Linked DNA regions of Pelodiscus sinensis. The protein of the gene in region 2 interacts with the protein of the main gene of each other region in a pairwise test. Links are inferred from orthologs where the notes say so. Each region holds a gene or a part of one and is shown on either strand. Other genes may lie near its edges.

What was found.
Region 1: the proteins of CCDC172 (region 2) and FAM13C interact in binary tests that used the Homo sapiens proteins (3 or more experiments, as listed by UniProt). The two-hybrid records come from large-scale screens. The link is inferred for Pelodiscus sinensis from reciprocal best matches to the Homo sapiens genes CCDC172 and FAM13C.

Annotation. Positions count from the first base shown.
Region 1 is NC_134718.1:21,954,232-21,970,826, forward strand, and holds the start of FAM13C (protein FAM13C), read right to left. Parts: upstream 7,000-16,595; 5' UTR 6,922-6,999; coding exon 6,896-6,921; intron 3,108-6,895; coding exon 3,069-3,107; intron 1-3,068.
Region 2 is NC_134718.1:61,628,126-61,644,314, forward strand, and holds the start of CCDC172 (coiled-coil domain-containing protein 172), read right to left. Parts: upstream 6,449-16,189; 5' UTR 6,320-6,448; coding exon 6,241-6,319; intron 1-6,240.

The DNA.
Region 1 (16,595 bases), about 40 Mb from region 2:
TAGGAAATTTTAAAAATAAAGTACCCGATGAATTTGTGAAATGCAGTGCCACAAGCTATTGCTTGAGGCTAAGATCCTCGCAGGATTTTAAAAAGGATTGGCGCATTGCACTATATGGATTGTGAAAAGACCTACTGTTATGCTATACAGGATTACTTTTTAAAGAGCAGGGAGAAGTCCATTAGCGGTGGGCTATTCCATTAATGATCTTCATTGGAATCACAGAGTACTAGATGCTCGAGACAGGAGAGTACATCAGACAGACAGATCTGATCTGATATGGCAATTCCTATGAATGTTTTCTAGAGAATGTGGGATTTAGTGGATGTATTGTGAGTTGCTCCTTCTTTGTCTCAGATAGGAAACCTTTCTGAGCACATGGAAAGCTGCATCTATTTTGGAACTATGACCTTTAAGACATGCATAAAAACAATAACTTCTCATGCACCAGATGCACATATGACACACCAGGAGCCTGACCACTTGGATGCCTGGCTTATCTGGAGAAAGGTCCCTAAGAAAAAAGTAAAATTTATATCAAGGTCCTGTGCATTGTATTATTCTACAGCATCTGCGCCTTGGCAATAGAATTGTGCTTCAGAATGTAAGGTCAAAACTGGATGCCCAAAGTTAGGTAGCTAGATCCCCATTTAGACTGCTAAATAAAAGAGACTTCATTTTCAGAAGTGCACAGTATGAACAGTTTGTAGTGACGTCAATAGGAGCTGTGTGTTTTCAGCACCCCTGATACTTTTATTTCAGTGGCTAACTAAGGATAACAACTAACTTTAGCACCCTTGTTTGACAATTTGAGCCCAAACAGGGCTTTTCAAACATTTTTCTAGCCCCCAGCATTTATAAACCTATTAAAATAAGGAGAAAGCCAAATTCAGTGTGAAAACATGGTTCTGTTCCTGATGTGCAGCTAGCAAACTTCTCACATGCCCCACAGGATGAGGGATATCCCATTTCTCAGAGGACTTTGGACCAAGGATCTGCAATTACACTCTCTGCCAACTACTGCTGGGCTACGTCTACACTGGCATGAATTTCCGGAACTGCTTAAAACGGAATACTATTCCGTTTTCAGTTTTTCCAGAAAAGGAGCGTCTACATTGGCAGGCTGCTTTTCCGGAAAATCCCTTTTTCTGGAAAAGCGTCTGTGGCCAATGTAGATGCGCTTTTCCAGAAAAGAGCCCCAATTGCCATTTTCGCGATCGGGGCTTTTTTCCGGAAAAGACTACTGGGCTGTCTACACTGGCCCTTTTCCAGAACAGTGTTCCGGAATAAGGACTTATGCCGGAGTAGGAGCAGAATAGTTTTTCCGGAATAGCGGTTGATTTTGTACAGTATAGCATCGTTGCTTTTCCGGAAATTCAAGGGCCAGTGTAGACAGCTCGAAAAGCGGCTGATTTTCCGGAATAAGTGGCCCAGTGTAGACACAGCCCTGCAATGACTTCTAGGCACATATTCTGCCCCTCCTTTTCCCTACTGGCAGTGCTAGCACTATAAGGGCCCTCTGCAATGCTTCCCCTCCTGTCCTTAGAGTGACAAACTTAAAAAACAACAAAAGGTCCAGTAGCGTGACAGGAAGCCTGGCAGAGAAAGCCCCGCACCACTGGCCCTAGCAATACAACCAAGGGAAAGGCAGGGATGAGCACAGATCTGGCAGGAGAAACTCCAGTGAGGCTGAGGAAGAGAAAGGAACCAACGAGGGACTGAGGTTGGGAAGGAGAGGGAAAAGTATTAAAAATGTGATGTCTTACTATGCACCTCATTTGTAAAATCCCACATTTTGTCCTTCATTTTAGATCCCATCGCCCACAATACAGCATTAAAGGCGGAGCTGTATAGTGGCAAAGCTAATGAAAAATAATAAAATCATTTTCTGTTTTTTTTTTGTATTTAATTTCATGCTGGTTACTGTAGCACTCCAAAACCAGGGACAAAATTAATAGATGAAGCAAAGTAGGAGAAGTATATAGGAGGTTAAAAGGTGTTTGGAATCCCAGAGAAATATTCCATCCATTTTCCATTTGCAGTTTGACAGAACGTTTGGATTGCTCATACTGAGCTACAACCTAGACTGCTTTCAGAGTACATAATTTTCCCTGCAATACTTTAGCAAACAGTTCACAATCAACTTAGGCTTTTTATTCCTAGCATTTCAGCAATGTGAAATGTAATTTATACGGAAACTAATCTTAAAACATCTCCCTTTTGACAAGCACTGGCCAAAATTCAGCTGAGCAGTCTTCTAAAATATAATCCAGTGTGTGAAATTTTGGAGATAAAACACCTATGAAACACAGACACAATCATGATATGTAATTTTCAGAGCCAAAGAGAGCTGTACTGATGTCAATAAATAATGTAGAATAGTCACATCTGAAATTAAAGCATGTTTCTCTAGTCTAAAGGAAACCAGAAGTATATTCCATTTTTAAATTGTTAGTGGCATCCCAGTGTTTGTAACTTTACAATGTTTTCTACTGTTCTGCTATCTGTTCATCTTAAGATAAAAAGGCAAAACATATTTATTTAAAATCAAGTGGGCAAAAGTCCTGGTAAAAAGTTGTACCGCTTTAATTGCAGAGGGAAACTGCATTCGGGTACTGATCCTGTCTAAATAATATAGTATTTTGCTCAAAATATTCTTAAAGATTTTTTTTCTGCCAGTGCTGACAGTAAGAATAGAATATGTGCTCTTAGGAAAATGACACATTAGCTTGTCATGATCATCAATAAAAAGAATTAGCAACATTTTCTCATTAGATGTACAATACAATCATATGTTCAAACACATTTAGATATATATAAAGCAGAAAGCAGCAACAAAGATATTCTTTCATGATGCTACTCCATTGCTCATGGTTAACTATACATAAATATTGCTGTTACATCATATTCAGCATATTTTCAATAAAATAGTAAAACCACAGAGTGCATCATAAAATGTTACAGAAAGCTTTTTTATTTTTGAAATAGCATCGGAAAATATTCTCTGCACCGTTTAACACATCATTCTTATTTAATGGTAAAGGTATGTATTTAAAGTATTCACTTACTCTGCTAAAGCTGTACTGTTGAAGGAATGATCCTGAATGCTGAAACAGAAACAAGAAAACATCAGATACTCAATAAATCAGTCTCTCTAAAAGCTTTTCAGTTGCTGGAACACAAACACAAACATGGCATTGCAAGGCAAATCTCTGTGTTAGCTCTACATACACATACCGTACGCTGGGCTGCTCTGCACATGCTCATAATCAAAGAACCATGGGGATTAGCCCTGCAACTCTCACAACCACAAAGCCTATCCAGCAGTGCTTTCAATATATGAACACAGGAAACCAGGAGATTCTCAAAAATGGGTGACACACCTTTGCAGTTACAACTATATTGTTAAATAACAACTGGAGCTTCTAGCACATCGAGCCAAGTGTTTGGCATTCAGATTCTTTAAACATTTGAGTATTCACAATTTACTTAATATGTGCTATGCTGTATTTACTACTTGAAATAGAGATGATCAATTAAGGTTCTCATGAGACTTTTCTTCAGTTGTCTCTCACAGATTATGCTGATAGCACAAACTCCAAGGGAAGCTGTGAAAAAAAAATTAATTTGAATTGGAAGGAAGGGCTGCTAAATTAGCAAAGAATTTTTAAATGAGCAGCAAAGAAATTGCTTCTGTAAAATCCAAAATAATCCTGTAGTACAGTGTTGGCAAATCTAGCTTTATAAATCTATAAAGGGTCAAATAAGGATACAATCAAATATGCTGATACTGAGATAGTCCGGAGTTCCCTGTCTACTTGCAAATGAAGAATCTAGTAAATAGACTGCTAGATCATCTGACAATAGAAGAAAATATTCCTGCTGCTACATGTTTTCCCAAAGAATGGAGTATTCTGAGCATTCTTGATGTGTGTGACAATGGCACTGCATAAACTACAGCAAGAAACCAAGCAGAGATTCGGAGGCGGGGCATCCTATCCACTGAAGCAGCCTGTGCTAGAATGGTGTAAGAGCAGAGTTCAAGCATCCTTAGCGTGAATCTAAAGTCACACCACGACAAGGCAGTTAGAATACCCCTCCCCTCAGACAACATTGACATTGTCTCTTATTCTTGTCTCTCCTGAGCTCACTCACACTATGCATACTGTTCTGTAGATTCAAACTTGAAGAAGGAACCATTGTGATCATCTCATCTGACATTTGGCATGTCACAGGCAACAGAATCTCACCCACCCACTCCTGTCATAGGCTTTGTCTAGATTGCAGGCTTCTTTCAGAAGAAGCTTTTCTGGAAGAGATCTTTCGGAAAAAATTCCTCTGAAAGAGAGCGTCTACACCGCAAAAGCGCATCGAAAAAGTGAAAGAGAGTGTCCAGACTGAATGGACTATATCCCACATTTCAACTGTGATTACTATCAATGGAGCGGCCACCAGGACACTTAAATTTTTTCCTCTTTCCTCTTCTTTCAAAAGAACTCTCTCTTCCTCATCCACACATGCCTTTTTCCAAAAGAGCTCTTGTTGGAAAAACCCCTCTGTTCTTTTGATTTTTTTTAAGAATGTGATTGCAGCATGGACGTAAGTGAAGTTTTTCCAAAAAAACTCTGCAGTGTAGACATACCCATAAATGCCTGACCTCTAGCTGAGTTACTGAAGTCCTCAAAAAATGCTCTAAAGACTTCAAATGACAGAAAATCAACTATTTACACCAGCTCAAAGTAGTAGTGACCCATGCCTCAGTGCCGGAGGAAGGCAAATTAAACCTAGGGTCCCTTCTAATCTGACCTGGGTGAAAATTCCTTCCTGACCTTATACAAAGTGATTAATTAGACTTTGAGGGTAGAGGTGAGACCCAGCAGCCAGACACCTGGAAAGGAATCCTCTTCATAAACTCAGAGCTTCACTGTCTAGTGTCCCATCTCGGGCTACTGGGGAGATATCTGCTACCAGCAGTTGCAGATAGTCCATGTGACATTACAGGCAATCTCATCACACCATCCCCTCTCCATACTTCCCAGATGCAGCTTTGAAACCAGTTAGGCTTTGTGAACCCACTGCTCCCCATAGAAGGCTATTCCAGGACATCACCCTTTGACCGGTGGTTGTGCAGGTGATGTCGCCGAGGTTACGTCCACACTAGCTCGATAGTTCGAGCTAGGTAGGGTAATTAAGCAAGCGGAGTGGCAAATGAAGCCTGGGATTTAAATATCCCGGGCTTCATTTGCATGTTCCCGGGCGCCGTCATTTTTAAATCCCCCTTAGTCCGAACTCCGTGCCCGCAGCACGGAGTAGGTAGTTCGAATTAAAGATCCTAATTCGAACTACTGTTACTGACCAATCTGATTAGCTTCTATGATGAGGTAACTGGCTCTGTGGACAAGGGAAAGTCCACAGTGGATGTGATATATCTTGACTTTAGCAAGGCTTTTGATACGGTCTCCCACAATATTCTTGCCAGCAAGTTAAGGGAATGTGGATTGGAGAAATGGATGGTAAGATGGATAGAAAGCTGGCTAGAAGGCCGGGCCCAGTGGGTAGTGATCAACGGCTCAATGTCAGGATGGCGGTCGGTTTCTACAGGAGTGCCTCAAGGTTTGGTTCTAGGACCGGTTTTGTTCAATATCTTTATTAATGAGTTGGATGAGGGGATGGATTGCACCCTCAGCAAGTTTGCAGATGACACTAAGCTAGGGGGAGAGATAGGGTCCAGAGTGACTTAGACAAATTGGAGGATTGGGCCACAAGAAATCTGATGAGGTTCAACAAGGACAAGCACAGAGTCCTGCACTTGGGACAGAAGAATCCCAAGCATTGTTACAGGCTGGGACCAACCAGCTAAGTAGTAGTTCTGCAGAAAAGGACCTGGGGGTTATAGTGGATGAGAAGCTGGATATGAGTCAACAGTGTGCCCTTGTAGCCAAGAAGGCTAATGGCATATTAAGTTGCATTCAGAGGAGCATTGCCAGCATATCCAAAGATGTCATTATTCCCCTTTATTCCGCTCTGGTGAGGCCATATCTGGAGTATTGTGTCCATTTCTGGGCCCCCCACTACAAAAAGAATGTGGATGCATTGGAGAGGGTCCAGCGGAGGGAAACCAAAATGATTAGGGGGCTGGAGCATATGACTTATGAGGAGAGGCTGAGGGACTTGGGTCTGTTTAGTCTACAGAAGTGAAGAGTGAGGGGGGATTTGATAGCAGCCTTCAACTTCCTGAAGGGAGGTTCCAAAGATGATGGAGAAAGGCTGTTCTAGTAGTAAAAGATGGCAGAACAAGGAGCAATGGTCTCAAGGTGTGGTGGGAGAGGTCCAGGTTGGATATTAGGAAGAACTATTTCACTAGGGCTATGTGTACATTGGCATCCCTTTCCGGAAAAGGGATGCTATTGAGACACTTCGGAATTGCAAATCCGCGGGGGATTTAAATATACCCCGCGGCATTTGCATTTCTATGGCTGCTGCTTTTTTCCAGCTTGGGGTTTTTGCCGGAGAAAAGAGCCAGTGTAGACGCGATTTTCCGGAAAATAAGCCCTTTTCCGGAAGATCCCTTATTCCTACTTGAAAGTAGGAATAGCAAAAATTTATAGCAAAAAAAAGTTTATAGCAAAAATTCTTGTCATAAGTACCTAAGTGCATGACCTCACACACATCATTAAATGTAATTCCAATTTTCATGATCTTGACTATATCATACTAGCTATAACATTGTATCATCTGAAAATGTTATTAGTGCACATTCACACCAAGATCATTAATGAAAATGTTAAATAAGACCTGTCCCAAGATAGAGACCTGAGGAACTCCATTAGCCTGACATTTCACTTTTTTTAGTATGACCCTTTGTAGTCTCCCATTCAACTAGTTCCTTATCCACCTTTCAATTTTCATACTAATCCCCATTTTCTTTCATTTAACTCATCATATCCCATGTGGAACTGTATCAAATATCTTATTGACATCCAGATAACTTCGATCTACTGCGCAGCTGCAGGAATGTGGACTCTGCACCCAGAAGTTCCATAGCTATTACATGTCACCCCAAATCGGCATTATGATGCAATCCAACCAATCAATGCTCATTTTTTAGTTCCAGAACCTGTACTCCATCATCTGTAGCTGTTCCATGCACTCAACCAATAACCTTGAATTGGTCACTACATCCCACAGCAATCTGGACTCCAAGAAATCAGCATGTTCCCTGGTGATTCTGTTCTTCCTACTGCACTGCAAATAATGGAGGATTATGCATTCTGTGTTTGCAACTTTTTCCACAGTAGGGCAAAGATGTTCAGGCTAGATGTTTCTAGTACTGATGGCAGATAGCAAGGGGGTTCCTAGGATTTTTTTAAAATTATGTAATAGAACTGACATTATAGGATGGGTACAACTGCATGCTGGAAAGTTGACTGCTTACTCCCAATCACTTCTCATGGTTCATTTCTTCCCCCTCCTCATATCCATCCCTAGGCATTACCAAAAATTCCTAAAAGACAGTGAGCTGGCAGCTTGCACATGGGAATACTTACCATTGTATCTGCTCTGCATCGACACAAGCACTCTTGGGACATGTGTACACTAAGAAACTATTTTTAAATAACTAAATTCAACTTAACTCCAAATTTTACAAAATCAAAATAGCTTGTCTCCACTACAGAGAAGCCTCAAAATTAGTCTGAGGCAGGCACCATTAATGAGGACATACTACCTTGACTTGGAGCCCAGGAACCACTGGCGAGTAATTAGTTTGAATTACCCTGGGGAGTAGTTATTTCAAAATAGTGGCACCAGAGTGTTCACACTACCACTATTTTGAAATAACTATTTTGAAATTAGCATTATTCCTGAGGAAAGCAGGACTGCAGACTTTGAAATAAGCAATAACACAATTTTTGAAATTACAGGCTTGGTAGGGTGGATGGTCCATTTATAAATTCAACAGAAGGGGGTGTTATTTTGAAATAAAGCGCTAGTGTAGACCAGGGCTTGGAGAGTACATAGTGCCAGTTCAAGGAACCAAGTATGCGTGAGCTCAAGTGATAAACTAACTGGGGCTATATGTCACTATAACTTGTGTTGACTGAAGTCTACAATGCAGACATGGCCTTCGATGACTAATCACTAAAGTGTTATGACTCATGATTAAATCACAAGGCTCATGGCATTTGGATGTTTTCTTAAGGACCCCAGATATTGGAATTAAGGAGTTGCAAAAGGGTCTCAGCTTTAATTTTTTTAAAGTTGGTTTCTAGGCCACTTGTTTCTAGAGAAAAGTTTGAAAATGTGAAGCAACTGTGTCCTTAAGCTAGTGCTGTAAGATGCCAAACTGAGTCGCAAAAGGCAAATAAAAAAAATAAAATGCAATATTTTAAAAATCTAATTTAAAATAAATAATCCCAATTCTCAGGCTAATCTGTTGGTGTTTGGAGGCTTGACTCTTGATTTTTGCCTTGGTGCTGACAGTACTGCTGGTATTTGAACCATAATTCAATAGGGGAGCCATTACTTAATGGACACCATGTTGCATCAATAAGAGAAAAGCCTTGGGTGAGCTGAAAAATCAGATCAAAGTACTTCTCATACATGCTGAAAATGTCTTATAACTTGAGAGAATGAGCACAGAATGGTCTGGTAAGAATAACCTCTGCATTCTTACACACGCATGAGGATGATTGCTGGCTACTTCACAATCTCTGTAAATCCACTGAAATAAAATGCTACTATTTAGGGTAGAATTTGGCCTTAATATGGAGCTCTGAGCAATATTCACAAGGGCTACGTCTACACTGGCCCCTAATTCCGGAAAGTCATGCAAAGCAGGTAAGTCAGAATAGGGAAATCCGCGGGGGATTTAAATATCCCCCAAGGGATTTAAATAAACATGTCCGCCGCTTTTTTTCCGGCTTTGGGAAAAGCCGGAAAAAAGCATCTAGACTGGCGCGATCCTCCGGAATAAAGCCCTTTTCCGGAGGATCTCTTATTCCTACTTGAAAGTATCCCTCCTACTTGAAAGTAGGAATAAGAGATCCTCCGGAAAAGGGCTTTATTCCGGAGGATCGCGCCAGTCTAGATGCTTTTTTCCGGCTTTTCCCCAAGCCGGAAAAAAAGTGGCGGACATGTTTATTTAAATCCGCGGGGGATATTTAAATCCCTCGCGGATTTCCCTATTCTGACTTACCTGCTTTGCATGACTTTTCCGGAATTAGGGGCCAGTGTAGATGTAGCCAAGAAGCATAGTATTCACAGGAATTAGGAGGGGGAAAATCCATGTCTTGAAAGGCACCATCAAACTGTTTAAATTAATCATGTTAATGTTAATGTCAAACGCCTATGATTAAATCACTTTCTATTTTTCATTTGTTTATGACTCATTTGCATGCTTAATTTCATTTTTTTTTTTGGCTGATGATACTTTTAGTCACTGTTTCTGGACAGACTCTCCATGCCAAAAGCAGTACTGTAAAAATAATTTGGCATTGTTTTGTTTAAAACAGAGCCACATTAATAAATACACAGAAGAGAAGACATGCTATAAAGTGGGTGCACAACTGGTTGGAAAACGATACGCAGAGAGCAATTATCAATGGTTCACAGTCAAGCTGGAAGGGCATATCAAGTGTGCTCTGATAGTGATCTGTCTTGGGTCCAATTGTATGCAATATCTTCAGAAATGATTCAGATAGTGGCATAAAAAGTATGTGTTCAAACTTTCTGGAGGATACCAAGCTGGTAGGGGTTGCAAATGTTTTCAAAGATGGGATTATAATTCAAAATGATCTTGACCAATGTTTCTCAACCTTTTTTTTTATAAAGTACCCTTTTTACAAAATAAATCATAAATAAATACCCCCAATACCTACAGTTTTCAGACACACACAATTTTTTTTCCACCATTGCAACACATTTGTTTATACCACTTAATTGTAGCTGGGCAGGCGATGAAATTTTTGGGAATAAAAAGTACAAAAATAATAAAGTGCTGTACAACTTAAAACAAAAATTCAGTTTTCTCAAAATTTCAGTTGTTTTCATGTATCCCTCCGCCCCCTCTCCTCCCCCGACTTCTCTTGAGTACCTCTAAGGGTACCCGTACCACTGGTTGAGAAACACTGATCCTGATAAACTGGAGAAATGGTCTGAAATAAATAGGATGACATTCAATAAGGATAAATGTAAAGTACTACACTTGAGAAGGAATAATCAATTAGACAAATACAAATGCAAATGACTGTCCAGAAAAACGTACTGCAGAACCTGGGGATTCTAGTGGATCACAAAGTAAATATAAGTCAACAAAATAACAATGTGCCAAAAAAAAGCTCACACTGTTCTGGGATGCAGAACTGTTTGTAAGCAAGATATAAAAAGTATTTTTTTCACTCTATTCAAGGCCTTAACTCGAGTATTATGTCCAGTCTAGGAAACACACCTTGGCTACGTCTAGACTGGCTCCTTCTCCGGAAGAGGCATGCAAAGCAGGCAAGTCAGAATAGGGAAATCCGCGGGGGATTTAAATATCCCCCGAGGGATTTAAATAAACATTCCTTGCAAGTAGGAATAAGAGATCCTCCGGAAAAGGGCTTTATTCCGGAGGATCGTGCCAGTCTAGACGCTCTTTTCCGGCTTTTCCCCAAGCCGGAAAAAAAGCGGTGGCCATGTTTATTTAAATCCCTTGGGGGATATTTAAATCCCCCGCGGATTTCCCTATTCTGACTTGCCTGCTTTGCATGCCTCTTCTGGAGAAGGGGCCAGTCTAGATGTAGCCCACGAGAAAAACTTGGACAAGTTCGAGAAATGATTAAAAAGATCTAGAACACAGGGCCTAAAAACAGATTGAAAAAACTCGGTTTGCTTAGTTGGGAGAAAAGGGAAGACCAATGGGAAATGGTGGCATGATAACAGTCCTCAAGTCTTAAAAGTTGTTATAAAAAGGAGGGGGATATATTGTCCTTTAGCTCCACTGAGGACTGGACAATGCTTCATTTGCAATGAAAGAGGTTCCAGTGCTTGAGCAAATTATTTACATTCATTACTGATGCAAAACCCAGAAGTGCTGGGGCTTAAAATTGTCAAGCCTAGAGGTTTCAAAGCCCAGTGCTGTCAAGTCCTGGACTGAATTAAGCACTTGGTTAGACAAACAACTGTCAGGGATGGTCTAGATAATGCTTAGGTTTGCTTTAGTGCAGGGGCCTAGACAAGGGGCATGACTACATTAGGAAATAATATTGAAATAATTAAAATAGAAATAACTCCCGAAATAACAAAATTAAAATAACGCATCCACACTATGGGGGAGCATCAAAATAGCTCAGAAGTATTTCAGAACAGTGCGCCTATACTGATTGGAGCCTGCCACAGACGTGGAGCCCCCAGAAGCACTCTGGGGAGTGCAACAGAAGAGCGGATGCTTCCTGTGGCTGCTGGGTCAGGCAAGCTGAGACACATACTTTTAAGGGCTCCTTTCTACAGCCCCATTTCACATCCCTCTGCTCCTCTGCCACCTTCTCATGGGACACCAAACTCATGTGGTGTGCTCTGGTTGCCCTTGCAGATGCCACAGCACCGACAACAGCACTGACAAAGCAGTGCCAGGCTCACAGGCCTCGTGCTGTGCCTCATGGCATAGTTCATCTAGACTGCCCACGTGCCGCTCCAACAGGATGACTACCAGCCTCACCTGTTCACCCAGGTCCTGGTGCTCCTACTGCTACAAATGACCCTCAATCCCCTGCACACAACAGAATGCCACTTCTGGCAGTGGGAGAGAAGTTCCAACTGATGGGACCACATCATCCTGCAGTGATGGGATGACAAGCAGCAGCTCCAGAACTTCTGTATGAAGAAGACCACTTCCTGGAGCTCTGCAAGTGGCTCGCCCCTACCCTCAGGTGACAGAACACCTGACTGACCCACCATCCCCCTGCAGAACCGCGTCGCCATCGCCCTGTGGAAGCTCACCACACCAGACACCTACCACTTTGACAGGAACCAGTTGTGTGTGGGGAAATCCATAGTTGGGGCCATATTCCTGCAGGTAGCCAAGGCCATCAATAATGTGGCACTGCAGAGGATTGTTTGCACAATGTCAACACCATCGTCAATGGCTTTGCTGCCATGGGCTTTTCCAACTGTGGGGACAGGGGAGGCATAGGCAGCACTCATATTCCCATCCTGGCCCTTGACCACCATGCCTCGGACTATGTCAACAGGAAGGGGTACTTTCTGATGGTGCTGCAGGCCCTGGTGGACCACAAGGGTCAGTTAACAGACATCAGTGTTGAGCATTTGGGGAAAGCGTATGATGCTTGCATCTTCCGGGCTCCCAGTCCCACATTTCTAGATTCTAATGAAAACTGGATTGCTAATTGAGTCATGGCTAGAGTTCGGGTTGGACTGGTAATGCTGCACTGTCCACAGGCACTGCTGTAGAAAGGGACTAATTCATGGGTTCACAATTCCTTCCCTGTTCACCCCTTGTTCCTGGATGGAAATAACTAATCTCCACCTTCCCACTGGTCTTGGCTCTCTGCTGACTCTATCCATTTCTCTGGGCCTTCCACCCATTTGCTCTGGGAAGAAGCATACCAGGCACACAGCTCTTGTTCTTCTTCCCTTTCCCCCTCCTAACGGAAATCTCAAGAAGGGGAACACTAACATGACCACCTAAAACATCAGGGACTTTATTCTCCACTAGACCCTTCTACGGCCAGTCACAATCTTACCCATACGTCCCAATTTTCAGTATATAAAATTGAACTGTTTTGGTCTGAAATGTTACATACAGTGATATTCAGGCTATGTTTACACTGCAGGTTTTTGTGCAAGAAGTATTTTGCAGAAGAGTTCTGGCGCAAAAACTGCTTGCACAAAAGCATGTCCACACCTCATGGACCTTTTACTCCTTTTGTGCAAGAGAGCATCCACACTGCATGGACGCTCTTGCGCAAGAAAGCTCTGAAGGCCATTCACAGATTGGCCATCAGAGCACCTGTGCTTTTTCGGATAGGCTCATTTTGAGCAAGAAACTCCTGTGGAGCGTCCACACATGCCTTTTTGTGCAAGAGCTGTAGCTCAAAAAGGAGTTATGCCTTGTAGAAGGAAGTATACCTACGCCGCAAAAAGCCCTCTGTTCTGTCGATTGACTGTAGATTTTCTTGTGTAAAAATGCACTTGTGGGTTTTTGTGCAAAAACCTTGTAGTGTAGACGTAGCCATAGTGTATTAAAAATCTCAGTGTCAGGTATATTTCACTGCAACATATAAAAAAGCCCCGGTACCTCTCATCATTCTCAAGTCTGAGAAAAGGTACTGCCCCTATATATGCAGATCAGAATTTAAGCACAGAATTAAAGACTTGAATTTTAATAACTTCAACTTTAAAAGTAATTAAAATTCATCTTGTTAACTGCAAGTAGCATTTTGTCTGTGTTTCATTCCTTTCAGGCTCTAGACAAATTTCTACACTCCATATATTTTTGTCAAATCATAGAATCATAGAATATTACGACTGGAAGGGACCTTGAGAGATCATTGAGTCCACTCCCCTGCTCTCATGGCAGGACCAAATATTGACTAGACCATCCCTGATAGACATTTATGTAACCTACTCTTAAATATCTCCAGAGATGGAGATTCCACAACCTCCCTGGGCAATTTATTCCAGTGTTTGACCACTCTGACAGTTAGGAACTTTTTCCTAATGTCCAACCTAAACCACTCTTCCTACAGTATAAGCCCATTGCTTCTTGTTCTATCCTCAGAGGCCAAGATGAACAAGTTTTCTCCCTTATCCTCATGACACCCTTTTAGATACCTGAAAACTGCTATCATGTCCCCCTTCAGTCTTTTCTTTTCTAAACTAAACAAACCCAATTCTTTCAGCCTTCCTTCTTTAGCCTTTTAATCATTATTGTTGCTCTTCTCTGGACCCTCTCTAGGGGTATGTCTACACTACAAAGTTAATTCGAACTAACAGATGTTAGTTCAAATTAACATTGATAGGCGCTACACATGCAAACCGCTAGTTCGAACTTAATTCGAACTAGCGGAGCGCTTAATTCGAACTAGGTAAACCTCATTCTACGAGGACTAACGCCTAGTTCGAATTAATTAGTTCGAATTAAGGGCTGTGTAGCCACTTAATTCGAACTAGTGGGAGGCTAGCCCTCCCCAGCTTTCCTTGGTGGCCACTCTGGGCACCACCAGGGAGACTCGTCTGCCCCCTTCCCGGCCCCGGAGCCCTTAAAGGGGCACGGTCTGGCTAAGGTACCCGTGCCAGGTGCAAGCCTGGCCACCCGCGGCCACCCAGCCCTCCGCCTCTTCCTGGGACCAGGCTGGTGGCTCCTGGGAGCCTGCCCAGGTCCGTAAGAGGTGGGCGCCTGCCTGGTCTAGTGCAGACATTGTGGACCTCATCCACGACCACTGCACTAGGCACAGGAAAGTGGCTGTCTAGGGCAGGACAGCTGCCAACCTGGTCACCCAGGAGCAGGTATGCATGAAAATCAAGGTGGTCCACTGAGACCACCAACCCTGAGCCCTGAGCTTAGAATGGCCATACTGGGTCAGACCAAAGGTCCATCTAGCCCAGTAGCCTGTCTACCAACAGCGGCCAACACTAGGTACCCTGGAGGGGATGGACCGAAGACAATTACCAAGCCATTTGTCTCGTGCCATCCATCTCCAGCCTTCCACAAACAGAGGCCAGGGACACCATTTCTACCCCCTGGCTAATACCACTCCATGGAACCAACCTCCATCACTTTATCTCACTTCTCTTTAAACTCTGTTCTAATTCTAGCCTTCACAGCCTCCTGCAGCAAGGAGTTCCACAGGTTGACTATTTGCTTTGTGAAGAACAACTTTCTGTTATTAGTTTGAAGCCTGCTACCCATTCATTTCATTTGGTGTCCTTTAGTCCTTATATTATGGGAACTAATGAAGAACTTTTCTTTATGCACCCTCTCCACACCACTCATGCTTTTATAGACCTCTATCATATCCCCCCTCAGTCTCCTCTTTTTTAAGCTGAGAAGTCCCAGTCTCTTTAGCCTCTCTTCATATGGGACCTGTTCCAAACCCCTGATCATTTTAGTTGCCCTCCCCTCTCCCACCCTCTCTCTTCCCCTCTCCCATCTCCTTTTCCCAGTCTCCCCAAGTTTTGTTCAAGAAAGAGAGTTTCTATTTTTGAACACACGTGTCCTTTATTTTGTACATCAGGAAGGGGGGCTAGGGAGGGGTAAGTGGAAGGAGGTGAGGGAGGAATGGGGTTCGAGCCCCTGATGGGGAGGACTGGGCTGGCTCTGCGGGCTCCTCAGGGTGGAAGCTCTCCTGCAGCCCCTTGATTGACCCCCCCCCTCCGGATGGCAGCCTGCGGCAAGTGCAGCCGGGCTGATGGCCGAGTGCTGTGATGTGCCGAGTGTGGGCACTCAGAGCACTCCAAGCCAGGACTGCTTTGCTAGTGGGGAACCCTTGAGAACTGTCTGTCCAGGGTGGGGGTCGGGTCCCTTTAAGCACAGCCCTCAACTAGCCTGAGACCACAGCTCCACGCTCTAAGTCCTAATCTGATGCCCTGCCGGCACTGCTTCCGGCCATCCTTAACCTCTGTTCAGGGTCCACTTAGTGTGGACATGCTAGTTCGAATTAGCAAAATGCTAATTCGAACTACTTTTTAAGTCTAGATGCGCTAATTTGAATTAGCTTAGTTCAAATTAACTAATTCGAACTAAGTTACTTCGAATTAGTGCTGTAGTGTAGACATACCCTAATTTCTCCACATCTTTCTTGAAATGTGGTGCCCAGAACTGGACACAATACTCCAAATGAGGCCTAACCAGTGCAGAGTAGAGCGGAAGAATGACTTCTCATGTCTTGCTCACAACACACCTGTTAATGCATCCCAGAATCATGTTTGCTTGTTTTGCAACAGCATCACACTGTTGACTCATATTTAACTTGTGGTCCACTATTACTCCTAGATCCCTTTCTGCCATACTCCTTCCTAGACAGTCGCTTCCCATTCTGTATGTGTGAAACTGAGTGTTCCTTCCTAAGTGGAGTACTTTGCATTTGTCTTTATTAAACTTCATCCTGTTTACCTCAGACCATTTCTCCAATTTGTCCAGATCATTTTTGAATTATGACCCTATCCTCCAGAGCAGTTGCAACCCCTACCAGCATGGTATCATCTGCATACTTAATAAGAGTACTTTCTATGCTAATATCTAAATCGTTGATTAAGATATTGAACAGAGCCGATCTCAAAACAAACCCCTGCGAAACCCCACTTGTTATACCTTTCCAGCAGGATTGAGAACCATTAATAACTATTCTCTGGGAGTATGTCTACACTAGCCCCTTAGTTCGAACTAGGGAAGCTAATGTAGGCATTCGAACTTGCAAATGAAGCCCAGGATTTAAATATCCCGGGCTTTTTTTGCATGTTCCCGTCTAGTCGCCATTTTTAAATCCTACTAGTCCGGATTAACTGCCCACGGGAATGAGGTGTAACAGTTAATTCGAACTAAGGACTTAGTTCGAATTAACGTTTGACTGCCGCGTGTAGCCACGGGCAGGTAGTCC
Region 2 (16,189 bases):
TTGCCTCAGGATCCTGCAGGGCTGCTGGCTGGGAGGTGCTTAGGTAAGCGCCTCCCAGCGACAGCCTGCTGCTGGCTTCTCCAAAATCCTGCCCCAGGTTACCAATCCCGCTCCTGCTCCAGATCATCATCCAAACCCTCTGCATCGCCCTCCCCTATGTCACAATTCCCTCCGAAACCTTGCACCCTTTCCTACAACCCTCCCCCAGGCCAGAATCCTCTCCTTCATCCATACTCCGTCCCAGACCCTACAACTCAAATCCCTGCCTTAGATTACAACCCCCTCCTTCACCCTAACTCCCTCTCAAACTCCACACTCTCTCCTGCACCCCAAGCTTCTTTCTGCACTCAATGCCCATCCCAGATGCCACACCTCCTCCATAGAAAAGTGCAGCCCTTGCCCACTTACAAAAATCTTGGATTCCCCGCCCCCCCCATCAAAAATGATTGTGCACTGCTGGTGTAAACAGATGATTTCAATAGAGACATGTACAGGCAGTCCCCGAGTTACGCGGATCCGACTTATGTCGGATCCGCAGTTACGAACGGGGTTCCTCTTCCTGGTCTCCAGCAGACCAGGGAGAGGAAGCAAAGCGGCGGAACATGTGGGCAGCGGACAGGGCTGTCCGCTGCCCACGCGCTCCGAGGCTTGACTTGGCTTTGCCCCCCCCCCCCGTCCCCCTGGTCTGCAGACCAGGGGGACGGGGGGGGCAAAGCAGAGCCAAGCCGCGGAGCGCGCGATCAGCTGACAGCCCAGACGCGTCTGGGCTGTCAGATGGCCGGGCGCTCCGCAGCTTGGCTCTGCTTTGCCCCCCCCTCCCCCGTCCCCCTGGTCTGCAGACCAGGGGAAGGGGGGGGGCAAAGCAGAGCCAAGCCGCGGAGCGCGTGGTCAGCTGACAGCCCAGACGCGTCTGGGCTGTCAGCTGGCAGCGCGCTCCGCGGCTTGGCTCTGCTTTGCCCCCCCCCCAACACCCTGGTCTGCAGACCAGGAGGAGGGGGGGGGGGCAAAGCAGAGCAAAGCCGCGGAGCGCGCTGCCAGCTGACAGCCCAGACGCATCTGGGCTGTCCCGCTGCCCCCGTGCTCCGTGGCTTTGCTCCAGACACCTGTGGTACAGCAGCTGGGGAGCTGCCAGTTGGTCCCGTAGCGCCGCTCTGGGCGCTACTGGACCAACCGGGCAGCACCCCAGCTGTTCTGCCCCAGGCGTCCTTATTCAGCCACTGCTGGTCAGATTCAGCAGCGGCTGAATCAGGACGCCTGGGGCAGAGCAGCTTGGGTGCTGCTGGGTTGGTCCAGTAGCGCCGAGGAGCGGCGGCGCTACTGGACCAACCCAGCAGCACCCCAGCTGCTCTGCCCCAGGCGTCCCCAAGTCAGCCGCTGCTGAAACTGACCAGTGGCTGACTACAGGAAGCCCCTGCCCCAGGCTTCCTGGAATCAGCCGCTGATCAGTTTCAGCAGCAGCTGACTTGGGGATGCCTGGGGTTCTTAAGTTGAATCTGTATGTAAGTCGGAACTGGCGTCCAGATTCAGCCGCTGTTGAAACTGATCAGTTTCAGCAGCGGCTGAATCTGGACGCCAGTTCCGACTTACATACAGATTCAACTTAAGAACAAACCTACAGTCCCTATCTTGTACGTAACCCGGGGACTGCCTGTAATTGCTAGACTTCTAATCACATGGATTTGCCTGTAACAGTTACAGTCACTGTCAGCAGTTACTTTAAAGTGATCGACCTTCTTTTGTGAACAAACAGTATCTAATTACTATTTTCATGTGGACAAGCATGGCATCTGCATAGATAATTCAGATAGCAGGCTTTGAAAATTTGATTTAAAGTAAGGGTCATCTGTTATGCTGTATAGTAAGTACCTTGTTGATACTTTGATTACACCATGACTTACTTTTTAAAATAAGTAGCAGGGTGACAAAATACTGGGGTTCTGTTTCTATACAGTAATTCCTCATTTAACACGTGCCCGCTTAACATGTTTTTGCGATAGCACAATTTTTTTTTTTAGGGAACATTTTTTGAATTACACGACCGTCCCTGGAATAACACGATTCCCCCAGCCGCCCTATTGCTGGCGGCTGCGTGGGGCTTCCCCCGACTCCCTGCAAAGCGGTGGAGGGTTCGCTGCACCGTTCCCTGCTGACTCCCCCTTACTGGACGCCTTGCCCCCTCTCCTCTGCCCCCACTGGCAGGCCAGCGGCTGGGTTTCCCCAGCCAGCCCATTGCCAGTGGCTGCGTGGGGCTTCCCCTGCCTCCGTGCAAAGTGGCGGAGGGTTCGCTGCTTACATGCCATTTCCTGGCAACCCCCCCTTGCCAGACACAGTGTGGTTCCTGGCAGACCCATCACAGGGGCATACTCCCAACCCAATCCCCCTCCCCTCTCATTCCCCAGAGCCAAACACCTCCCCTCCCTGCTGTAACACAGTCCCCTGTCTCCCACAACCTTATGCCCCGGTCCCAACAGACACCACCGCTTGAAACGCAACCCCCACCTTTTCCATTATTTTCAATGGAAAAATTGACCCCGCATAACACGTTTTCACTTAATACGATCATTTACTGAAACATATCTATAGTGTTAAATGAGGAATTACTGTATCTTCTAAAGTGTTTTTTCTGTGTTATCCTGGACAAGCTTCCTTAAAGTTCCCACTGCACTCAGGAAACTACATGTCCTGAAAGCAGATTTTGTAAAGTTCAAACTATAGGTCTAGACCAGGGGTGGGGGTCTTCTGGCATCCTGGCTGCACTGCTGCTTGCCGCTCCCAGTCACCATGGTTCACCTGCCTCAGCCAATTGTGGCTGCAGAAAGTGGTATGAGCTGGGCCACCATTCCCTGAAGCTCCTGTTGGCCAGGGACAATGAATTGTGGCCACTGGGAGCTGCAGGGCTCTATGCCTGCAGATGCTCAGGTAAACAAGCCATCTGGAGACCTGCCAGCAGCTATCCCTGACAAACTGCATGCAGCCTGTGGCTGGAGGTTCCCCACCCCTGGTCTGGACTGCAGGATTGCCAGAATCAAGCATTCAAAAATTCATGATTTAGCCACCCCCAATATTATGAAGTCGGTTTGAAAATCAGCAAATGGTTAATAAAAATAATGGACCTTTTTTATTTGCCTTCTGAGTCTTGGGGTTTGTTTTTCATGTTTCTACCATGCGGGGTGGGGAGGGAAAGGGTGGGGAGGAAAACACACACACACACACACACTCACTCTGACTTGTAATAACAACATGATTCCAAGAATTGGGGCTTTAGGAATAACAACAAATATTGTCAAGTATCAGAGGAGTAGCCGTGTTAGTCTGAATCTGCAAAAGCGTTGAGGAGTCCTGTGGCACCTTATAGACTAACTGAAGTGTTGGAGCATAAGCTTTCGTGTCAACACAATCAACTCTGGATTAAACAAAGACTGTGAATGGCTTGCTAACTACAAAAGCAGTTTCTCCTCTCTTGGAATTCACACCCAACAGTTCAGCTACTAGAAGTGGGCCTCATCCTCCCTGATTGGATCAACCTTGTCATCTCCAGCCTGATTCTGGCCTGCATATTTATACCTGCCTCTGGAAATTTCCACTACATGTATCTGACGAAGTGGGTCTTTGCCTACGTAAGCTTATGCTCCAACACTTCAGTTAGTCAATAAGGTGCCACAGGACTCCTCACCGCTTTAACAAATATTGTGAGTCTCGTGAAAAATAATTATGTGTTGGTAAGGCTGTGTGAGAGAATGATCCAAGCCTGATCTGCTGTATTCCTTCACGGGAGAAGAGTGATAGGCTCTTCCAAAGCCAACCCACGTGTGTCTATTGTAGGACTGCCCCAAATCCATATCGAATTCACTATAATGATTGAAAGAGGAATCTTTGCTCTTTTATGAAAATGATCCCACTGTATATTCTCCTTTGCTTGTAGAGTGTCTAGGTAGTATCGACAACCTTGCTATTGTCAAGGGAGGATTTTGCTCCGACTGATTTTTAATGCTTCTTCTAGCCTTGTTCTGTTTATATTGATAACCTTTCATAATATTTGATGACAGTGACATTTCAGCATAACCTCTCAGTGATTATATCTGAACAATAACAATTCCACCTGCTGAGCATCAGACACAAGCCAGGGTTAACTGCTATATATGCAGGTCAGACAGAGACTTTTAGGGACATGACAGTAAAACTAAAGGCCCAGAGGCATGAACCTTGATGTGGTTATGCAAAACCCATAGGGTTATATAAGTGAATATCAATACTGGACAGCTTTCTGGAAGATATAGCTTATCAATCTGTAGAGGCAGGGCCTGAGGTGCGGAAGGCAGGAACTCAAGTTATTGGTCTCAATACAGGAGTAACAGGGTAAATTGGTGGCCTGGCTAGGCCAGGTCTGGCTAGATCAGTGTTTCTCAACCAATGGTATGAGTACCCTTATGGGTACTCGAGAGAAGTCTGGGGCGTACATCAACACAAATGAAATTTGGAGAAAATTGAATTTTTGTTTTAAGTTTTACAGTGCTTTATTATTTTTGTACTTTTTACACCCAAAAATGTCATCGCCCATTCGGCTATGATTAAGCTGTTTAAACAAAGGTGTTGCAATGGTAGAAAAAAATGTTGTGTGTCTGAAAATTGTAGGTACTGGGGGTATTTATAATTTTTTTTTCAAAAAAGGGGGTACTTATAATTATTATTTTTTTAAAAAAGGGGTACTTTATAAAATAAAGGTTGAGAAACACAGGTCTAGACTAGGGGTCTCAAACTCATGGCCCATGGGCCATCTGCAGCCCAAGCTGTTCCACAATTTGCCCTATGCACAGCTGCTGGCACATGAGTCCCTGTGGCCATCTGGGTGGTGCAGCTCTTCCCCCAAGTCCAGCCCTTGCTCCACCTCCATCCCACCTCTTTCCAGCCCTGCTCTGCTCTTTTCCCTCCCATCTTAACTCTTCCCTCAAGTACCCTTCCCCAAGGGATGCAGCCTCAAGCATTACTAGTAGGCCTGCTGTGGGGCAGCAGTAGTGGCCTCCTTCCACCCCTCCCCACTGTACTCACTGCAGTGGTGGGAGCTGCAGGGAAGCAGAGTGATGTAGCTGCATCTACTCTGCTCTGTCACCATTTCCCAGGGCAACCCGGTCACTCTGCTTCACTATGGCAGTGGGAAGTACAGCATCCCAGCCCCAGTGCAGGGTGGCTTGGGAGAGGGAGGTGGAGCAGACCAGTCTGCTTCCTTGCTCTGTTTCCCTGCAGCTCCTGCCACTGTGATGAGTGTGGGATGGCCCGACTCCTCCTTCAAGCTCCAGCCTGTCCAGGGTCCCACAGACTACCTTGAATATGAGGGACCCCCTCTCATCCATAGGACGGCTTGGGAAGCCACTATGGCACCCCATGAAGTGCGAGGCTTGGGGTGGCCATCCCAAACCATCCTATGGATGGCGTGGTGCTGCACACACCTCCCCATGGCCATATGGCAGTGGCAGAGAGCTAGCAGACAGAAGACACACTAGCCCCTGTGCTACCAGTGGTGACACTGGGGACTTCTGCGGGCGTTAAATTACCAGGGGATGGCAGGGGGAGGGGGAGCATGCAGGCCGGCAGGCAGGGCCAGGAGACACTTGGCGGGGATGTATGGAAATGCCCAGCCCATTTCCCCAGAGCCCTGCCAGAGGGGGATACCTGTTGTACTGGCACTGACCCTAAGGTAACCCAATTGGACTACACTCTCTGAAGGTCGCTTCTGGCCTTACAATCTAGGGGTATGTCTAGACTACATGGCTCCATCGACAGAGCCATGTAGATGAGTTCACTAGACATAGGAAAATGAAGTGGCGATTTAAATAATAAGCCTTTGTCGACCGCTCCGGTAAACCTCGTTCCACAAGGCATAACGGAGCAGTCGACAAAGGCTTCCGTTGTCAACGGCGGAGCATCCAGACTACCGCACTGTGCCGCCAAACTCAGTGCGGCGGCCATTTTGATGTAAATGAAACGGCGATTATTTAAATCGCCGCTTCATTTTCCTATGTCTAGTGAACTCATCTACATGGCTCTGTTGACGGAGCCATGTAGTCTAGACATACCCTAGGAGTCTAAAACTCCAGGGGAAAGGCTCAGTCAGCCTTTACTGACCTTGCTGCCCTTGAAAACACCACCCCTACTGCCACTCAGGGCTTTTTGGGCGTCATGTGGCCACAGGCACCTGTGGCCGTCCCCCTGCACCAGGCACAAGATGGCGGCCGTGTGGCTGACCTTGGTGCATGAGGCGCCGCTTCTCTTCCGCTTGCTGCTCCGTGAGGAGGATTTGCTGGAACAGGGAGTCCAGGCTCATTTCTGTCTCTTGGGGGGGCAGGGCTTGGGGTTATTTTCTCATCCCTGGGGGGATTATTCACCACTTCAGAGGGCCCCTCACACAGGGTTTAGGGAGCCCTTCCCTGAGCCTGCCTGACTCCTCCCCCTTTAGCAGTGGCCTTGTGCCCGGTCCCTCCCACCTCCCTCACCTGTCCCTGCCTGGCTGCCTCAGTTCCTGTCTCCCGACTGGTGGCTGGAGAAACAGCCCCTCAGGAGCAGTTTCTGGAGCTAAGGAGGAGCCTCACAGCCAGCACATCAGATGGGGAAGCCTGAAGTTAGAGGAGAAGGACGAAGGTGGGTTGAGGGGTGGGAAAAGAGAAGCTCAGCGGTAGAGGTGGTTGGAAAGGGGAGACTGGTGGTTGTAAAGAGGGAGAAGGTAAAGTAGGGGTTGGATGGAAAGACAGTGGTAGATAGCGGGGGTCTTGTGGTGGAGACATTTGTATATGCATCTGCAAGAGAACTTCTTGTATGTGACACTCAGCAGTTGATTTTACATTTGTAGTTCACTTTTGTATCTGAAGTATGCAGAAATGTGCCCACTATAAGCCAGATTCATTCTTGGTGTAACTCCAAAGACTGAAGTAACACTGGAGTGAGCTTTTGCCCCGTAGGCAAAAGAATGTAATAGTTTTTAAGCACTGAACTATAAAAGATTAAGCACAGAGTGTGGGCTTTGTGTTCAAGAGACTGATTTGTCTTTTAGAGTTTTGGCATGGTTTTCTATTTCACATTAACGTGTTTATTAGCTCTGGAGAAAATCAACTTAGTACCAGAAGCTCATTAATCTGAATATACATTTTTTAATTAGTGTGGTTAGTTCTCTTAACTCTAATAAAACTTTTCAAACTTAGGCGGTGTCTAGGCAGTAAGGTAGTATTATTTTTAAGTACGGTGAAAAATTAACTTTGTTTCCTTAAGTGGTTCTGCTATCTGACAACAGGCTTGTTTGGCTTCAACTGACATTTGGCATCTCTGAATAGAGAAATAAGCAGCAGTTGCAGGGAATCTGCTGCCAGATGTCCCGTAATACCAGACCTCCCAACAGAGGGTTGAAGGAGAGGTGATTCAAAGGGGCTTAGGGAGCCACTGCTGTACTTGGAGCTTGAGCCCTTTAAATTGCTGCCTGAGCAGTGCGCAGTGCACTCTGGGTGCTTTGGTCTGTGTGGCATTGAGGCCCTGCTGCCCTCAACCCCGTCCCTTCTGCCTTAGGCCCTGCTCTTTCTGGGAGCGCATTGCTGTCCCCCTCCTTCTTTACCCAGGAGCCAGGCATGGATGTTGGCTCCGCCTAGTACAGCAATAGGATCCAGATTCTGGTATGACTGGAGAGCTACTACAAGGAGAATGGTTGTTGAGAATTGGTTTAGGCTAAGTAGTTGCTGGCAGAGCATTCGTACAGTAGAACCTGAGTTAGGTTGTTTGTAACTCTGAACAAAGTGTTATGGTTGTTCTTTCAAAAGTTTACAGCTAAATATTAACTTAATATAGCTTTGAAATGTGCAGGAAAAAAACACTGCTGTTAACCATTTTCCTTTAAATTAAATAAGCACAGAAACAGTTTTCTTACCTTGCCAAATCTTTATTTTCCCTTTATTGTTTTTAGTAGTTCACACTTAACAGTACAGTGCAATATTGTTTTTGTCTGCACTACTGTTTGATTGCATACTCTTGGTTCCAGGTGACGTCTGTGGTTGTCCAGTCAGTTCATAACTCTGGTGGTTGTAACTTTGAGATTCTACTGTATTTGTATGAGGCAGGTAGAAAGGAGGAAAGATTTGAAGGAAGCTTTGTGTTTGTTTTTTTTTAAAGAAGCATTCCAACTGAGGAGAAGTTTCTGAGCAGAGAAGTGTAAGTAGGAAGCAGACACTCACCAGGACCTAAATAGGGAAACAAAACCTCAGGACTGAAAGTGAATGAACTAGCTAGCCTGAAGCAAGGGCAAAAATAATGTAAATTGTCAAAGATGAATTGATTCTAAAGCAGTAAATCTTCTGAGTCAAAGAACATGTAACATAAGAACAACTATATTGGGTAAGACAAAAGGGGCATCTAGGTCAATATTGTGTCTGATGACAGTGGATAATGCCAGGGGCTTCAAAGAAATGAACAGAACAGGTAATCATCAAGTGTGCCACACTGATGAGAACCGGCTGTGGAGTTTGTCCATTGTTGTTAGGTAATCATTTCTATTTTAGCTCATAATTTATGTTAACATTATATCTTCTTAAATCGTACAAAAAGTGGTTTGACCCTTCTAGCTATAATATCCCCTATTAGCTTTATGAATAACTCTTTATTGCAAACAGTAAAGTAGGCAGATTTGTGTTTGTATCATGGTTATTTTAAAGTAACTGTCTAGTCAACAGGTGCTTCAAAAGATTAAACTATTTGTGCATATTGGGAATAAAGTCTCACATTTTTCAGTTTAGGAAGTACTCAGATGTTCTGTGTCTAGATAAATGTTGATTCTCTTGCATGTACATTTCATTTACATATGAACCAATATTTAACACGTCACCATCTCTACTGTTCCTCTTGTATATTTGTTATAAAACATGTTCGTTTGCTTACTATCACTGTTTGCATTATTCATGTCTATGTATTGTTTTATTGTAGGAGTGTGAATTGCTTCCAGTAGCAGCTAGGGGGCTCTATTGGTTCACTTTTTGAGATAAACAACAGAATGACATAAGTAGGCTCTGTTACTTGTTTGCTTATATAGGAATTCCAATGTAAAAATAACATGTATTTAAGATACATGCCTTTGTACAGGACTAGGATTTTTACATTTTTTAAATTTCTCTCTCAAAGTAGCTTTATATTTTCTTCTGATATTTATTACCCCCTATTTCTGACTTCTGGTGCAGTGTTTCAGTATTGAAATTCAGAACCAGCTGATGCGTATTAATGGGGTTTGTTCTATGATGGTCACTGAAGAACACAGCAACTTGTGTAGTTATCTGGACAGATAATATTTAAAACAGAGCATTTTTTATTATTGCAGCTCAGGATTACTCAACACGCTGCCTGCGGGCCACATGTAGCCCGCGGCCAGTTTATTTGCAGCCTGAAATATGGTTTGGGTTTACATGGGGCTCAACACATGGCCCACGGGGAGGATTCTTTGAACATGGCCTCCCTGGGAATACGCTCCACAACGGCAAGGCATCTCCCAGGCGGGGTGAGCATTGAAAGACTCAATCAGACGGACTGGCTGGAACAGATGGGTGCAGGGTATTGGAGTTTCTAGCCCCCAGAGCAGAGGTGTCCGGAACACCGAGGCATTGTGGGACGTGCTGGCTGCTTAGCCTTGTGGGAAAAGCCTGAGAGGTGCTGACTGACTTATACTGGCCATATTTGGGTCCAGCGCCCCTGCTTAAGCTTAATCTTTGTATTCAAGCCTGTCAGTGTGAAAGAAGCTATTTGCATATATTTACAGGTAAATGTGCATATATATGCAACCACATTTAAGTTGCGGCCCTCCGGGGCTTTAAAAGTTGAGTAGCCCTGTTGTAGCTGGTAACTGTGGAAAAAATATTGGGTAAACAAAAGCTCACTTTAAAAAATTGTTCTGGGAATTCATAAACCATGCAGGCTTGATTAAAGGAGAGAAAAAAAAACACTGAAATGGAGGCTCCTGAAGCTTAATCTTCTCTATACTCTCTGATGGTTCAGGGGGGAGGGGAATAATGGAAGGAGAAGGATATGGCATTTAATGGTAATACAGTACTTTAAATTAGTCCTTGTGCTCCTTTTGTCCTCTGGCACTTGTTGAAACACTAAGCCTACTGAAATTACAGTCCAGTATAAATGCCATCTTGTTCCAGACGCCAAAAGCTCATTCAAAGCTTAATAAATTCCTCAAAATTGATTTTTGGGGGGCTTGTGCAGGTTTTTGTTGTTTGAAGGATGGATAGCATTGTTATTTAATTTGGCATTTACAAAGGCTAAATGCCTTGGGCCAAATCTTTGACTTATCTAAGCAACTACTTATATTGACTTCTTGGGATGAAGATAAATTCTGGACAAATAAAGCAACTTAAACTTGTCCTCCCCAATGATTTCTTAATTTTGTCTCTTCTTCTCAGTCTCTTTCATGCAGTTGGAAGAAAAGAGCCCATCAAAGTACTGCTATTTGCTGGATCCTTTCCCATTAGTCTTTTGTTCCCATTCTCTGTAACTCATTAGTTTGATATCAGATTCACTCCACCTGTTCTTTCCCAGAATTACATTACTCTTTTTCCCAAAATACTTCCATTCAGCAGTTCCATCAGATCTACACTTAATAACTTTATATTTCTCATGGCTCAGTGGCTTTGACTTCAGCATTTTCATTCAAGTTCACTCTGTGAAATGAGTCTATGGCAAGGATGATAAACATGTGGCCTGCAGGCTGGATGCAGCCCAGTCAATGTATTAATTCCGTCCCCACATCAATTTACCATTCCATTGTCATTGTGGACTGCTGCCAGCAATAGCAATTGACACAGCACTACAGCAGATGGAAGCTGGCTGCAAAGCAATACTGATGAGTATTTCGGACAGTTTAATTTTGCAGATGAATTTGGTGTAAAATGACATTCCCTTACCAACAGATGGGGATGCAGAAGGAAAGCCATCAGGATTCTGCATGGAACAAGTACAGAACATGCCTTTTATGTTTGTAACACTGACCACTGATTCCACTGAAAATGTCATTTGGCCCTCAGGACAGAATGAGTTTGATATCTCTTACCTATTGAGTGCACCCACTCCAGCTTCATGCAATAAGGTGAGTCTAACCTGAAAACAAGAAAGCTAGTAAATTGTGACAGGTTTCTTTTCCTAGGCTAATTTTGAAAATTTTCTGAAGCTTCCCTTTTACAGTGATAAGGGGACTATGTTTTATCTTACTGACAGTCATTGTTCATTTGTTAAAAGAAAAATATCCTTTTGATGCAAATAAAAAATGTTTATCAAATGCTTGGATTTTTTTTTTAAATTATGCATGTTTGAAAGGTACAAACTGAATTAAAAGCTTCACTTCGTTTTACTACTTGATAAAAAATATCAGCCACTGCTGACATAGGTAGGTAAAAAATAGCAGAAAATGAAGTACCACCAGCAATGCCAGCAGTCTGAGCTGCAAACAGAGAACAGAATCTTGGCAGGAAAATGGGATGGAAACAGAGGCAAGGTCCCTTGATTCACCTCAACGGGTCTGTTTGCGGGGTGGAGGATGGAGTAGGCACAGCCAGAAAAATCAGGAGATCACATGACCCCCAATATTTTTTCTTTGGGTGGAAAAATGACACACAAATTTGCTTGCTCACGCCAGGCACTAAATACTTACATCTCTGCTAACAGTCTACCATCGTTGAGGACTGAGAAGCAGTGGGCCCATCTTCTGGGAAGCTGAAGTTCACAGTGAGTTTTGTGTCTGCTTTGTATTTCAGGGGACACAATCCACATCTTAAAAAGCAGCATTACAATTAGCATTGTTGTGGTCAGTCTCCACAGGCACAGAATAAACATAGAGTCTGTCTAATTACTGAATTGACACAGTCGACTAGTTCTAGATTCTAGTTCACCAGTGTAAATCTGGAGTAAGTCCACTGAAGTCAGCAGTACAATTGAGAGCAGAGTGTAACCAGGGGATTGGATTTTCCCCTCATTTCTAAAGGTTGTTTCCCCAGAGCAATATTTTAAGCATGTTAAGGGAGAGAACCTTCTGCTTCAACTGCCTTGCCCATCCCATCCCTGTTCTGTAGAGAATGAGACAATCACTGTCTAGTGTGTTCAGTCTGGTACATAAGCAATAAGAAAAAAAAGTGATTTGAAAACATGATTTGTTGCAGTGTATATTTAAACAATACTAATAAGACATAACAGGCACTTCATTTCCATAGAGCTGCATACTTCGTTTGCCTTATGAGGCATGAGACGAATGCACAGGCAACTTCAGGTATCCAAGAAATACAGTACTATCCTACAAAAGGTCCTATAATACCTGCCCTGCCTGACTGCTAGTAAGAAATGAAAATCAGTTCAAAACCAACAAGGTACAATGAGGTCAGACTCACTGCCATGGCACATCCTCCTGGTCTCCTTGGGAATTAGCTCTTCACTCTCAGAGTGCCCCCTGTTGAGCAGTGTCTCATCCTCCATTATCTGTCTTCAGTTACAGCAGGCCCCATGTTCCTCCTGGCCCACAGTGCCGTTCCCTCACGATACTGCTCTGTGGCAGTGCCCCTGCACTCTGGGGTCTTCCCCTCCCAGGGAACCCCAAACCCCCATATCCACCTTGCCTCAATGACCCACTGCCAGTCATTATCTAACCCCTGCCCCACGGGCAGGGTTGCCAGATAGTGTAACCAAAAATACCCTCCGCCCCCCAAAAAAAACCCACCAGGGAAAAAATTCTGTTGAGGGGGAAAAAAAGGCGGAGACCAAAGTTGTTGAGCAAACAAAAAATGAAAAAATGAAACAGCATTAAAACAGCTTTAAGTGCATGCAGAGTCAGAGTAGGGATAGCAAGAATGGAGCGGTTGAGCACTAAGACCCAAGGAAGGCATTGCTTCCCCTTCCTTCAGTTCTTTAGGCTTTTTGCCAGTGGCCATTTTGTTTTCTTGATGGAGACTGAACGCAGCTTCCCTGCGGAACCGGGGGGGGGGGGGGGGGGCAGGAGAGAGGGTTGGGGGCTGGGCCCAGTTGCCGAGTGTGTTGTAAGGTTGCTAGGTATCTGGTATTTTCGCCTCCTGGCTGGGAAAAAAAATCAGAAAATACTGGACATTTCAGTAGCCTGGTATTTTCTGAATTTTTTTACCAAACAGGAGGCGAAAATATCGGACTGTCCAGGTCAATACCGGACACCTGGCAACCCTTCCCAGGGGTAAACTACAGTATGAAATGGCCACTCATCCTTGGCAAAGGATGGACTCGCAGCCTTCTGCTTCCCTGGCTATCTCACTGCAGCCCCAATACTCTCAGGCCTTGAGAGCAATGCCTCAGCCTGAGAGTTTGCCTGCTCTTCCCCAGCACTAGTCTGTCTCAGGAAGCCTCTGTAATTTCCCTAGCAGCCAGGTCCCTCCTGCTCTACTCCAAGAGCATTCTCTCTGCCACTCCAGGAGCCCCTATTTATAGAGTCCCAGCTGGGCCCTATTTGGCTGCTATATGCTTTAGATGGTTGCTCTGCAGGCCCAGCCCTTTCTGAGGGCTGAATTTAATTCTTGGTAGGGCCAATGTGGGGCAGACACCTGGTCTGTCTAAGGACAGAATTAAGTCAACAATGATAAATAAGAGCTCTAGGGCTGTGTCTACATTGGCGTGATCTTGTGCAAAAGCAGTCACTTATGCACAAAAACTTGCTGCCTGTCTACACTGGCTGTGAGTTCTTGCGCAAGAACACTGACGTTCTAATGTATGAAATCAGTGCTTCTTGTGCAAGAATTATGATGCTCCCACTGAGGAATAAGCCCTCTTGCTCAACTGTTCTTTTGCAAGAGGCCAGTGTAGACAGGCAACATGAATTTCTTGCGCAAGAAAACACTATGGTTAAAATGGCCATCAGAGCTTTCTTGAGCAAGAGAGCATCTACACTGGCATGGATGCTCTTGTGCAAAAGCACATCTCTTGCACAAAGGCACATGATAGTGTAGACGCTCTCTTCTGGAAGAGTTTTTGCACAAGAACTCTTCCGCAAAAGAGTTCTTGTGCAAAATCATGCCAGTGTAGATGTAGCCTAGGTGTAGAAGGAATTAAAAAACTATTCAATCATTTCTGGGAGAGTGCAGAAATACTTGTAATTTGCAATTTTTTTTTTATATCAGCTGTCCTATCACAGTGTACATGAAGGGGAGCAGGTAGATATACAGAAAAACCTTTATTTAGTACTATGGCTTATGCCTTAACAGATTTGAGCATTTAAATCTGAGGAGGTAATGGGATTTTAACTTTTTTTTGCCAATATCATGTGAAAGAAAAGAACACTACTTAGAGAATGTCTGTAGAACTTTGAACACACACAGTCCTGATTGGTTTTCATCTCTTCTCAAAAAAGATATATTGGCATTGGAAAAGGTTCAAAGAAGGGCAACAAAAATAATTAGGGGTTTGGAACGGATCCCATATGAAGAGAGATTAAAAAGACTTGGACTTTTCATCGTAGAAAAGAGGACACTAAGTGGGGATATGATAGAGGTCTATAAAATCATAACTGGTGTCGAAAAAGTGAATAAGGAAGGGTTATTTACTTATTCCCACAATATAAGAACTAGGGGTCACCAAATGAAATTAATAGGCAGCAGGTTTAAAACAAACAAAAGGAAGTTGTTCTTCACTCAGCGCACAGTCAGCCTGTGGAACTCCTTGCCAGAGGATGTGGTGAAGAGTAGGACTTCAACAGGGATCAAAAAGAGTTGGATAGATTCATGGAGGTTAGGTCCATCAATGGCTATTAGGCAGGAAGGGTAGGAATGGTGTCTACCCTCCTTTTGTCTGGAAATGGATGACAGGAGAGGGATCATGTAACAAATACCTAATCTATTCACTCCCTCTAGGGCATCTGGTATTGGCCAGTGTTGGCAGACAGGATACTGGGTTAGATGGACCTTTGGTCTGACCCAGTATATTTTTATGTTTTTGAGGCTTTCATAATCAGGTCAATGATGTGCTATATCTAACATTTAACATTATTGTCAAATATCAATTCAATCTCATAGTAGTTGCAACTAAAAAAGTATTCCCTGGAGGATCATTGTACTCAGACCCTTATCCACAAAGGCATTTATGGCACTTAACAAACATTGAAATCAATGGGAATTAAGATTCTTAAGACATTTGAAGATTTGTGACTTAACCTTTAGCTTCATGGTTTAGAATACCAACCAAGGAAAGTAGTCATTAGCTCAGAAGAGCTCTGTTATGTTATTTCTTGTATATACACCAAATAATACTATTAAATATACTACATAACAGTAATATAATAGTAAGTTATTACATTTTTGTAGTGGTTTTGCAAATAGTGAGTCTGGTTTTCTTCTCACCTGCACTGTTTTACTCTGGTATAAAATCTCTTGATTGAACTTATTCTTGACTTGTCTCATAAGATATTTATACCATCCAGATTATACACATTATGCCATTTGATAATATCATATTTGGAAATTAAACAAATAAAACTCATCATTGTGTAGCATTCAGTCCAATTTGTACTGAAACGTTTTCAAGGCCAACTTGCTATACTCTTTTAATTATCAACTGTTTCAAAAGCTAGAAAAATATTGTACATGGCTGAACATAATGCCAGAAATGTCATTGCTAAGTTGGTATACTTTAAATATTTAACTATAAAATACAATAGGAAGGGCTGAGATTTAAAAATCATTTAACCATTTGCTCTTAGTATCATTTTATGAATATACCTTTTGTGAAATATGCAGAAGGTAATCTATTTTTTTCCCACCTTGGAATAATATATGCTTCTTACCTCTGAAATGGTAGTCCTTTGTGACATAACAATTTAGTTGCACTGTGATGTCACAAAGATTATGAATTCATCCATACGATAAGAAGCAGGTATGGATGAGCTTCTAGGAAATCCAGATTCCCTTTTCATGCCGATTTGCCTGTTTAAAAATGAGAGCTAAAAGGAAAAAAAGGGGGAAGGAAGGAGGTCCTATTTAAAAATAATTGGCTAAGTCTACAGTGCAAGTTTTTGCGGCAGAAAATATCTAATGAAGGACTCTTTAGCATAAGTCATTACAACATTAGCGTATTCTTTGCTGTTTCTTTTGTGCAAGCTCTTTTTGCGCAAAAAGAAGCAGCGTAGCCACTTCTGTTTTGTGCAAGATCCTTATGTTGCTGCTGTATTTTC